Saccharomyces cerevisiae S288C: one gene and its partners. The gene in region 1 interacts genetically with each later gene. Each region holds a gene or a part of one and is shown in the gene's direction. Other genes may lie near its edges. The genes, in order: SEC53, KHA1 and INA17.

The links.
Region 2: mutations in SEC53 (region 1) and KHA1 together harm fitness more than expected from each alone (negative genetic interaction), as found in Saccharomyces cerevisiae (2 studies listed by BioGRID).
Region 3: mutations in SEC53 (region 1) and INA17 together harm fitness more than expected from each alone (negative genetic interaction), as found in Saccharomyces cerevisiae (one large-scale study listed by BioGRID).

The regions. Positions count from the first base shown.
Region 1 is NC_001138.5:43,111-46,195, reverse strand, and holds SEC53 (phosphomannomutase SEC53), read left to right. Parts: upstream 1-1,803; coding exon 1,804-2,568; downstream 2,569-3,085. Other genes in the region: LAM5 (Lam5p), read left to right, coding at 1-476; ubiquitin-specific protease OTU1, read left to right, coding at 636-1,541; FMP32 (Fmp32p), read right to left, coding at 2,758-3,085. UniProt on the Saccharomyces cerevisiae protein: Involved in the synthesis of the GDP-mannose and dolichol-phosphate-mannose required for a number of critical mannosyl transfer reactions such as folding and glycosylation of secretory proteins in the ER lumen.
Region 2 is NC_001142.9:252,417-256,179, reverse strand, and holds the start of KHA1 (Kha1p), read left to right. Parts: upstream 1-1,737; coding exon 1,738-3,763. Other genes in the region: TOK1 (Tok1p), read left to right, coding at 1-1,443. UniProt on the Saccharomyces cerevisiae protein: Potassium-proton antiport.
Region 3 is NC_001148.4:363,020-366,076, reverse strand, and holds INA17 (Ina17p), read left to right. Parts: upstream 1-2,008; coding exon 2,009-2,557; downstream 2,558-3,057. Other genes in the region: tyrosine--tRNA ligase MSY1, read right to left, coding at 1-1,125; MGR2 (Mgr2p), read left to right, coding at 1,350-1,691; ATG21 (Atg21p), read right to left, coding at 2,715-3,057. UniProt on the Saccharomyces cerevisiae protein: Component of the INA complex (INAC) that promotes the biogenesis of mitochondrial F(1)F(0)-ATP synthase. INAC facilitates the assembly of the peripheral stalk and promotes the assembly of the catalytic F(1)-domain with the membrane-embedded F(0)-domain.

The DNA.
Region 1 (3,085 bases):
GTAGTTTCTCAACTAAGACAAGGTATCTAATCCGTTGGAATGACGAAATAACGTGTCTGTTACGGGTATCCTTTTGGGTGGAATGGACTGGTTCCAGTTGGATCAAAGGTATGGTTGAAAATGGATGCAAGAATGGTCAATTGGAGGCTGCGCAATTAATGGAGCGTATTCTTTCCAAGTTCATCAAGAACAATGTCGAAGAGTGCCAAATTACTATCAGCAAGGAGGAAGAGGAGCAAGATGATAAAGAAGTAAAAAATAAGTTGAAAGAGGTTGACCTTGAACAACCAAGAGAAGCGGTTGTTACGGCTCCCGCAATTGCAGAGCAGCAAGGTCTCAAGGTCACCATGGAAACATGGTTGTTCTTATACTTGATTGTGGTCGTTTTGCTATTGTTTAATCTGTTCTACATACGTTCAATTGCTGTCTCATTACATCAACTGGTGAAGCTGCAATTGGTAGAACTGAAGTTGTGATCTGTATTTTCTTCGTACCAATATATATCGTTTCTATAGGGCAATGGTAGTAACTAATAGTAAAGGGCGAAATAAGCCGATTTCAGTGGCAAATAACAACTTTTTCCTTTGAAAACAAGATAACATTGAAGAAGATAACCAAGAGAAGAAACTTTCAAGATGAAACTGAAAGTTACTGGAGCAGGAATCAACCAAGTCGTTACTTTGAAGCAAGATGCAACACTAAATGATCTTATTGAGCATATCAATGTAGATGTTAAGACGATGAGGTTTGGATATCCGCCTCAAAGGATCAATTTGCAAGGGGAAGACGCTTCTTTGGGACAAACCCAGCTGGACGAGCTGGGTATTAACTCTGGTGAAAAGATTACAATAGAGTCCTCTGATAGTAACGAAAGCTTCAGTTTGCCACCACCACAACCCAAACCAAAGAGGGTGCTGAAGAGCACTGAGATGTCAATTGGTGGCAGTGGAGAAAACGTCCTATCAGTACATCCTGTTCTCGACGACAACTCGTGTCTGTTCCATGCTATTGCCTATGGCATCTTCAAACAAGATAGCGTTCGTGACCTCAGGGAGATGGTCTCTAAGGAGGTCCTCAACAACCCCGTCAAGTTCAATGACGCCATATTGGACAAACCTAACAAAGATTACGCGCAATGGATTTTGAAAATGGAATCTTGGGGTGGAGCCATCGAGATTGGTATCATATCCGATGCACTCGCAGTAGCTATTTATGTAGTCGACATTGACGCTGTTAAAATCGAAAAGTTCAACGAGGACAAGTTCGACAACTACATTTTGATACTGTTCAACGGAATCCACTATGATTCCTTGACCATGAACGAGTTTAAAACTGTTTTCAACAAGAACCAGCCGGAATCAGATGATGTTCTAACAGCAGCTTTGCAACTGGCCTCAAATTTGAAGCAAACTGGCTATTCCTTCAACACTCATAAGGCCCAGATCAAATGCAACACTTGCCAAATGACCTTTGTGGGTGAAAGAGAAGTTGCTAGGCACGCTGAATCCACGGGACACGTTGATTTTGGCCAAAATAGATAATAAAATACGCATTTGGCGTTTATCGGTATACTCGTCATGAGACACGAAAAGTGGATAAAATGCATTCCTTTTGTCGTTGATGAAAAAAAAATTTGAAATATATTAAAATGTGCCGTTTTTTACGTGTTCTTTTCACTTATTTTTCTGTTTATATCGTCTATTCTTCTTGGCAAAGTATAAGATCTTTGACGAAAACTAAATCGACAATTTCCTTAGTACTTCTTTCTCCTTTTTTACCTATCTGCTAATATAACCACCAATAATGAGTATCGCTGAATTCGCTTACAAGGAAAAACCAGAAACTTTGGTTTTATTCGATGTTGATGGTACCTTGACACCAGCCAGATTAACTGTTTCTGAAGAAGTTAGAAAAACTTTGGCCAAGTTGAGAAACAAGTGCTGCATTGGTTTTGTCGGTGGTTCTGACTTAAGCAAGCAATTAGAACAGTTAGGCCCAAACGTTTTAGATGAATTTGACTATTCTTTCTCTGAAAATGGTTTGACCGCCTACAGATTAGGTAAGGAATTAGCTTCTCAATCCTTCATCAACTGGCTCGGTGAGGAAAAATACAATAAATTGGCCGTCTTCATTTTGAGATATCTATCTGAAATTGACTTGCCAAAGAGAAGAGGTACTTTCTTGGAATTTAGAAATGGTATGATCAACGTTTCCCCAATTGGTAGAAATGCTTCTACTGAGGAAAGAAACGAATTCGAAAGATACGATAAGGAACACCAAATCAGAGCCAAGTTCGTTGAAGCTTTGAAAAAGGAATTCCCAGACTACGGTTTGACTTTCTCCATTGGTGGCCAAATCTCTTTCGACGTTTTCCCCGCTGGTTGGGATAAGACCTACTGTTTGCAACACGTTGAAAAAGATGGTTTCAAGGAAATTCATTTCTTTGGTGACAAGACTATGGTCGGTGGTAACGATTACGAAATTTTTGTCGATGAAAGAACCATCGGACATTCAGTACAATCCCCTGATGACACCGTCAAAATTTTGACTGAACTATTCAACTTATAGCTTTATTTCCAGGTTGCTACGTGATTATGCCATTTGTGATCCGTTTGGTGATTCTTTTTTATCCTTCTTATATAAATAAATATACTCTTACTACGTTATTGAATGTGTACTCTTACTGAACTGTGTTATACAAAACGTAAATGCAATTTTCAAGTACCAAGTCTAGCCCTTTTTCCTCGCTTGTCGCCACTATGTTAATAACCTCATATATGCTAATACAAGTGCAAATGTACCTGTACAGACACCTATCAGCCATTGCATGACTTGAGTCTTGACAGAATCAATCTGCATCTTCATATTGGTCACTTCTTGCTCAATTTTGGTGTCGATTTCTTTTATTTGCAGATCGTGATGACTACTTTCTTCCCTAATTCTGCCTTTTTCTAAGGACAGATCAAGTTTGAAACCGGCGTTTGTTTTGGTAATTTCTTCCCTTAGTTTGTTTCTTAGTTTCTCCAGATCGTTTTTCACACTTTCGTACTCGTTTTGAATATTGTGAAATTCACTTCTATCAGCA
Region 2 (3,763 bases), on another chromosome or scaffold:
AGTTCTGGTCTATATTTGGTATGCACCATTATTTTAACAATACATTTTATTGGATATAAATTAGGAAAATATCCTCCAACGTTCAACCTTTTGCCCAATGAAAGAAGTATCATGGCATACACTGTACTATTGTCTTTATGGTTGATTTGGGGTGCGGGTATGTTTAGCGGTTTATTGCACATCACTTACGGAAATGCATTATATTTCTGCACGGTATCATTATTAACCGTGGGACTAGGTGACATCCTGCCCAAGTCGGTTGGCGCCAAAATCATGGTTTTAATCTTTTCGCTATCTGGTGTTGTCTTGATGGGTTTAATAGTGTTTATGACAAGATCCATCATTCAAAAGTCCTCTGGCCCAATTTTCTTTTTCCACAGAGTTGAAAAAGGCAGGTCCAAATCGTGGAAACATTATATGGATAGTAGTAAAAATTTATCTGAAAGGGAAGCGTTCGACTTAATGAAGTGTATCCGACAAACGGCCTCAAGGAAGCAGCATTGGTTTTCTTTGTCGGTGACTATTGCAATTTTCATGGCTTTTTGGTTATTGGGAGCTCTTGTATTCAAATTCGCAGAAAATTGGTCGTACTTCAATTGTATTTACTTTTGTTTCTTGTGCTTATTAACCATTGGATACGGAGACTATGCTCCAAGGACTGGTGCAGGCCGTGCTTTTTTTGTGATTTGGGCGTTGGGAGCCGTGCCATTAATGGGGGCTATCCTATCTACAGTCGGTGATCTGTTGTTTGACATTTCCACTTCTCTGGATATTAAGATCGGTGAATCATTCAATAATAAAGTCAAGTCCATCGTTTTTAATGGGCGTCAAAGAGCACTTTCCTTTATGGTGAACACTGGAGAAATTTTCGAAGAATCTGACACAGCTGATGGTGATCTGGAAGAAAATACAACGAGCTCACAATCCAGTCAAATTTCTGAATTCAACGATAATAATTCAGAAGAGAATGATTCTGGAGTGACATCCCCTCCTGCAAGCCTGCAAGAATCATTTTCTTCATTATCAAAAGCATCTAGCCCAGAGGGAATACTTCCTCTAGAATATGTTTCTTCTGCTGAATATGCACTACAGGACTCGGGGACCTGTAATTTAAGGAACTTGCAAGAGCTACTTAAAGCCGTCAAAAAACTACATCGGATATGTCTGGCGGATAAAGATTACACACTTAGTTTTTCCGACTGGTCGTACATTCATAAACTACATTTGAGGAACATTACAGATATTGAGGAGTACACACGCGGACCCGAATTTTGGATATCACCTGATACGCCCCTCAAGTTCCCGTTAAATGAACCTCATTTTGCTTTTATGATGCTTTTCAAGAACATAGAAGAATTAGTTGGTAATCTAGTAGAAGACGAAGAGCTTTATAAAGTTATAAGCAAAAGAAAATTTTTGGGTGAGCATAGAAAGACACTTTGATATACAAACACCCGAAGCATTGATTTATATCTTACTGTAGACTACTACGGATGTATTCTCTAAATATTTATATTCAGCATCTCAAAATAAATACTGAAAGCATTTTTCTGCTGTAAATGCGCTTTCAATATTATGCACCCGTTGCGTCTCGCATTAATGTGGCTGAGCTCCAGTAAGGGAAAATAAAAAACAAAAACTGTTCGCTTATTATATCATCTCTTGTTGCTAAAGCACACATCAAATGATACCAACGATTATTATTATTACGAAGTTGTATTATTTATATTCTATCAAATGGCAAACACTGTAGGAGGAATTCTGTCGGGTGTAAATCCGTTCCACTACAACTCCAGTTCGCCGCTTACATTATTTCTCTTTCAAGCATGTCTCATACTACTGGTATGCAATTTAATTCACATTCCCTTTTCAATGATGAGGCAGCCTAAAGTCATTTCAGAAGTTATATCTGGTGTTATTTTGGGGCCTACTATATTTGGTCAAATTCCAAACTATACAAACACAATTTTCCCTACATCATCGATCCCGGGGCTAAATTTAGTGGCGAATTTGGGAATAATACTGTTTATGTTTTTTTTAGGTTTAGAAGTGGATATTGCTTTCATCAAGAAACACCTAAAGAAAGCACTCGTGATAGGTATAGTCACTTTAGCAGTGCCATTCGGTTTTGGTTGTCTGCTGGCGATTCCTTTATTTCACACTTATGCAAACAAAACAGAAGGCGAAAGGCATATTAAATTCTCTGTCTTCATGGTATTTATAGCTGTTTCCATCTCCGTTACGGCTTTTCCAGTTTTATGTCGTATTTTAAATGAATTGCGCTTGATCAAGGATAGAGCAGGTATCGTTGTCCTTGCGGCGGGTATCATTAACGATATAATGGGATGGATTTTGTTAGCATTAAGTATTATTCTTTCTAGTGCAGAAGGGAGCCCTGTCAATACCGTTTATATTCTGCTTATCACGTTTGCATGGTTTTTGATTTATTTCTTTCCCTTAAAATACCTATTAAGATGGGTGCTCATAAGGACCCATGAATTGGACAGAAGCAAGCCTTCACCGTTGGCAACGATGTGCATTCTATTCATCATGTTCATTTCTGCTTATTTTACGGATATTATTGGAGTTCATCCTATTTTTGGCGCCTTCATTGCTGGCTTAGTAGTTCCTAGAGATGATCACTACGTTGTTAAATTAACAGAAAGGATGGAAGATATTCCTAACATTGTTTTCATTCCAATCTACTTTGCTGTTGCAGGATTAAATGTCGATTTGACTCTATTAAATGAGGGAAGAGATTGGGGCTATGTTTTCGCCACAATCGGCATCGCCATTTTCACCAAAATTATTTCAGGTACTCTTACAGCTAAACTTACTGGCTTATTTTGGAGAGAAGCCACTGCAGCCGGTGTTTTGATGTCATGCAAAGGTATCGTTGAAATCGTTGTCTTAACTGTTGGTTTGAATGCGGGCATTATCAGTAGAAAAATATTTGGTATGTTTGTGTTGATGGCATTAGTTTCTACTTTTGTCACTACTCCTCTGACTCAGCTTGTTTACCCAGATTCATACCGGGATGGTGTTCGCAAATCCTTATCTACACCTGCAGAAGATGATGGTGCAGCAGATGGTCTCGATTCTGAGGGTGTGGACAAGACTGAAATTAACACTCAACTTAATTCATTGGCAGATGTTAGCAAATATAGAATTGGTGAACTGACCACGGTGATAAACACTACAGAAGCGATCTCTCCATCTCTAAAGCTGCTAAATTACCTGTCTTTAGGGGTATCTCCCAAGCCTAAGAATAATAAACATAAGAACGAAACCTCCTTGAGCAGAATGACAACAGCTACTGATTCCACATTGAAATCTAACACATTCAAAATAAAAAAGATGGTTCATATCTGGTCTAAAAGCGTTGACGATGTGGATACCAATTTAAGTGTTATAGATGAAAAATTGACCCCGTTTGAGGGAGTCGGTGCATTGAGGGCCATTCATTTACGATTGCTCACTGAACGGACAACTGATCTGCTGCAATCATCTTCTCTATATAATGATGATCCCCACTTTACCGCAAATACAGATTCACTATTACAAATTTTTGATATATTTTCAAACCTGAGCAAAATACCATTTTCAAGTGAAGTCATATTTTCTACAATGCGTGAAAAGGCAGCTAATATAGCGACGATGAAAATGGATTCCACAGATCTGATCTTATTGCCATTAAAAGGGGCCTCGTATGAGTATAGAGGGAGCCCAGTCTTCATTGATGAAAAATACGCAAACTTTGATC
Region 3 (3,057 bases), on another chromosome or scaffold:
GACTTCTTTAGCCAATAAAGTTTGGCCATAACGTAGACTGGGTGATTTGATATGCGTTTCCACAATTTTTTTGATTTCACTTGAGTTTAAAAACGTAAAGATCTTCAAGAACTTGGGTACATCAGCATCCAAAGTATTATAAAAGAACTGGTAAACATCATACGCCGTATTGATTGAGGGGTCAATAAAAACAGCATTGCCTGCACTTTTCCCAAATTTCTCTCCTGTAGCCGTCGTCAACAAGGGCACAGTGATACCAAATGGCAAACCCTTATTCTTTATAGGCTGTATCCTATTGATGAGATCGATACCGGCTGTTATATTTCCCCATTGGTCGTTACCACCTACTTGTATAGTCACATTCTCTTCCTTATACAAATGGTAAAAATCGTACGCTTGTAAAACTTGGTAAGTAAATTCGTTAAATCCCAGACCATTTTTGGTTTGAAGCCTCGAAGAAATTGAATCCCTCGCCAACATAGATTGTACCCGAATGTGCCTACCAAAATCAGCTAAGAAATCCAACATTTTGATGTCTTTCCACCAGTTGAAATTATTCCTTGGTGTATATTTTCCGGAAGGTACATCTTCAGTGAGAGCACATCGGTTTCTGTAATATTCTAGGCCATTTTTGAAAAACCTTTGTAATTGCTGCGAGATGGATGCCACATTGCTTTGCCTAATATCGTTCTCCATAACGTCTCTTTCTGTTTTCCTACCACTTGGGTCCCCAACTTTCCCTGTAGCTCCACCTATCACAGTGACAATGTCGTGACCTTTTACGTAAAAGTGTAATAAAACCATTAGTGGAACTAGATTTCCCAAATGAAGTGACTGAGCTGTGGGATCCACCCCGCAGTATAATTTGATCTTATCGTTACCGTTCAACTTCGTCCGAAGGAAACTCTCTGGCTGTGAGACCTGGGACACTAGACCCCTTTGTTTGAGTTCGTCTAAAATATTATCGCTTCGAGAATCCGATGTGCCCTGTACTTCTAAAGCACTAGGCTGTGAATAAAATCGAGATTTAGGCAATGTTATTGCACTTAGTCCGGAATAAGTCACCAGAGGCACAAGTCTCCTACTACTATTGACCAAATTACTACAACTTCGTAATTCGAGCATGATTCACAATGTCTACCTGTAGATTGCTGTGTTCAATCGGAAACTGGAAATTCTTTCTTAACATTATGAGCCAACCACTTTTTATTTTCTTTTCAAAACTCCCGAACAAGACCAACATTACCAAACAGACTCCACTACTTTTCCATAAGAAGGAAGCACAGAACACCACACAAGATCATATAGCACAAATAGCGCAACAGCTTCAAGTCCAATATTAAGATATAATGCCTCCTCTTCCACAAAATTATGCGCAACAGCAGCCTTCGAATTGGGACAAATTCAAAATGGGGTTGATGATGGGTACTACCGTCGGTGTCTGCACAGGCATCCTATTTGGTGGATTTGCCATCGCAACTCAAGGCCCAGGTCCTGATGGTGTAGTTAGAACACTAGGGAAATACATTGCTGGTTCAGCGGGTACCTTTGGGCTATTTATGTCCATCGGGTCTATAATCAGAAGTGATAGTGAAAGTAGTCCAATGTCCCATCCTAACCTGAACCTACAGCAACAGGCAAGACTGGAAATGTGGAAGCTTCGTGCCAAATACGGTATACGTAAGGACTGAGGGGGAAATTTTGCATATATTTACGCTTCCCCATCGTTTTCTTAAACATTGTTACTTATCTGCTTATTTTTATTTAAGATATCTATCTACCTGTTTATAACTCTCTCAATACCATGTATTTAAGTTCATCACGACGAGGCTTATTTACTTAATATATTTGTATACGTGGGAAATGTCTAATATGTATACCGGTTTGCATCTTATTTTGGGTGGGGTCACTAACGGCAAGACTCATAAAATAAAGTATTCGCTAAGCACTCTGTTATATTTGTAAACTTTGAGAAAGGAAATGGGAACCAAAGCATATAATAGACAATATGTTAAAAAGACGCTCTAATGCTCTCATTACTTTGAGTAGAACTAAATTGTTTCCCATAACAACCGTTGCCTATTACCACAGGCGCCTCCTCAACCAACAACGAAGAGCTGTTTCAACGTCACCGAAGAAAGAAATCAAGAGCCTAGAAGACTTGGCTAATTTGGATTCTTTGGATGGTGTTGATACTGAACTGATACGCGATTTGATTAATGAGCATACTACAAAATTAAATATCAAAAAGGAGTTAGATATGCTCAAAAAATTCTCGCAAGAGGAAGAATCAGGACATGAGATCCCTGTAAAAAGATTTATTAGGCCTCTTTGGATGTTCATTCTAATGGGATCTTCCGTTTATTTACTGCTTCACTTCTCTTGGTGGAAACTAGAGCATGAGGAGAGAGAAAGTCAGCTAAAGAAAGAGGTAGAAATCCTGGAACACCAATTAAATGAGTTAATTGTACAGGATAAAACCCACAATACTAGTAGGGGAAAGGGCAGTAATGAATCAACACATATGAAGCCTTGGTATAGGAGATGGTTTTGGTGAGAATTAGTTATCTTGTTGGCTTTTCGTGTTTCTAGAATGTACCATTGCCTATGTAAATATTTTCAAATTGCTTGTTTTGAAGATTTCTACCCTCTTTAGCAATTCACACGTGAATACGTACAATATCTATTAAGATTATGAAAACTGCACATATGCATTATGTAAATTTATTATTTTTAGTCAGCACACATTCACCAGGTTTTGACGGAATACTATATATACTGAAGGTTCCATCATCAGAGGCAATATAGACTTGGTTGGGAAATTCGTCTGGAAACCCTAAGCAACTCCTGTTCGATTCATTAACTGTTATATAAGCAAAGTTACGGCTCAGGTTCTGGTTTGGTATTGAAGATTTTATTTTTTTCGAGAAGTAATTCGCAATTCTTGGTTTCGAGAGAGGTATTTCCTTTGGAGTTCCCATACTGGGATTTGAATTTGATGCTAGTATATATTCCTCTTCATTCCAGTGGCCATTGCTAGAATTATCTCCAGGGAGG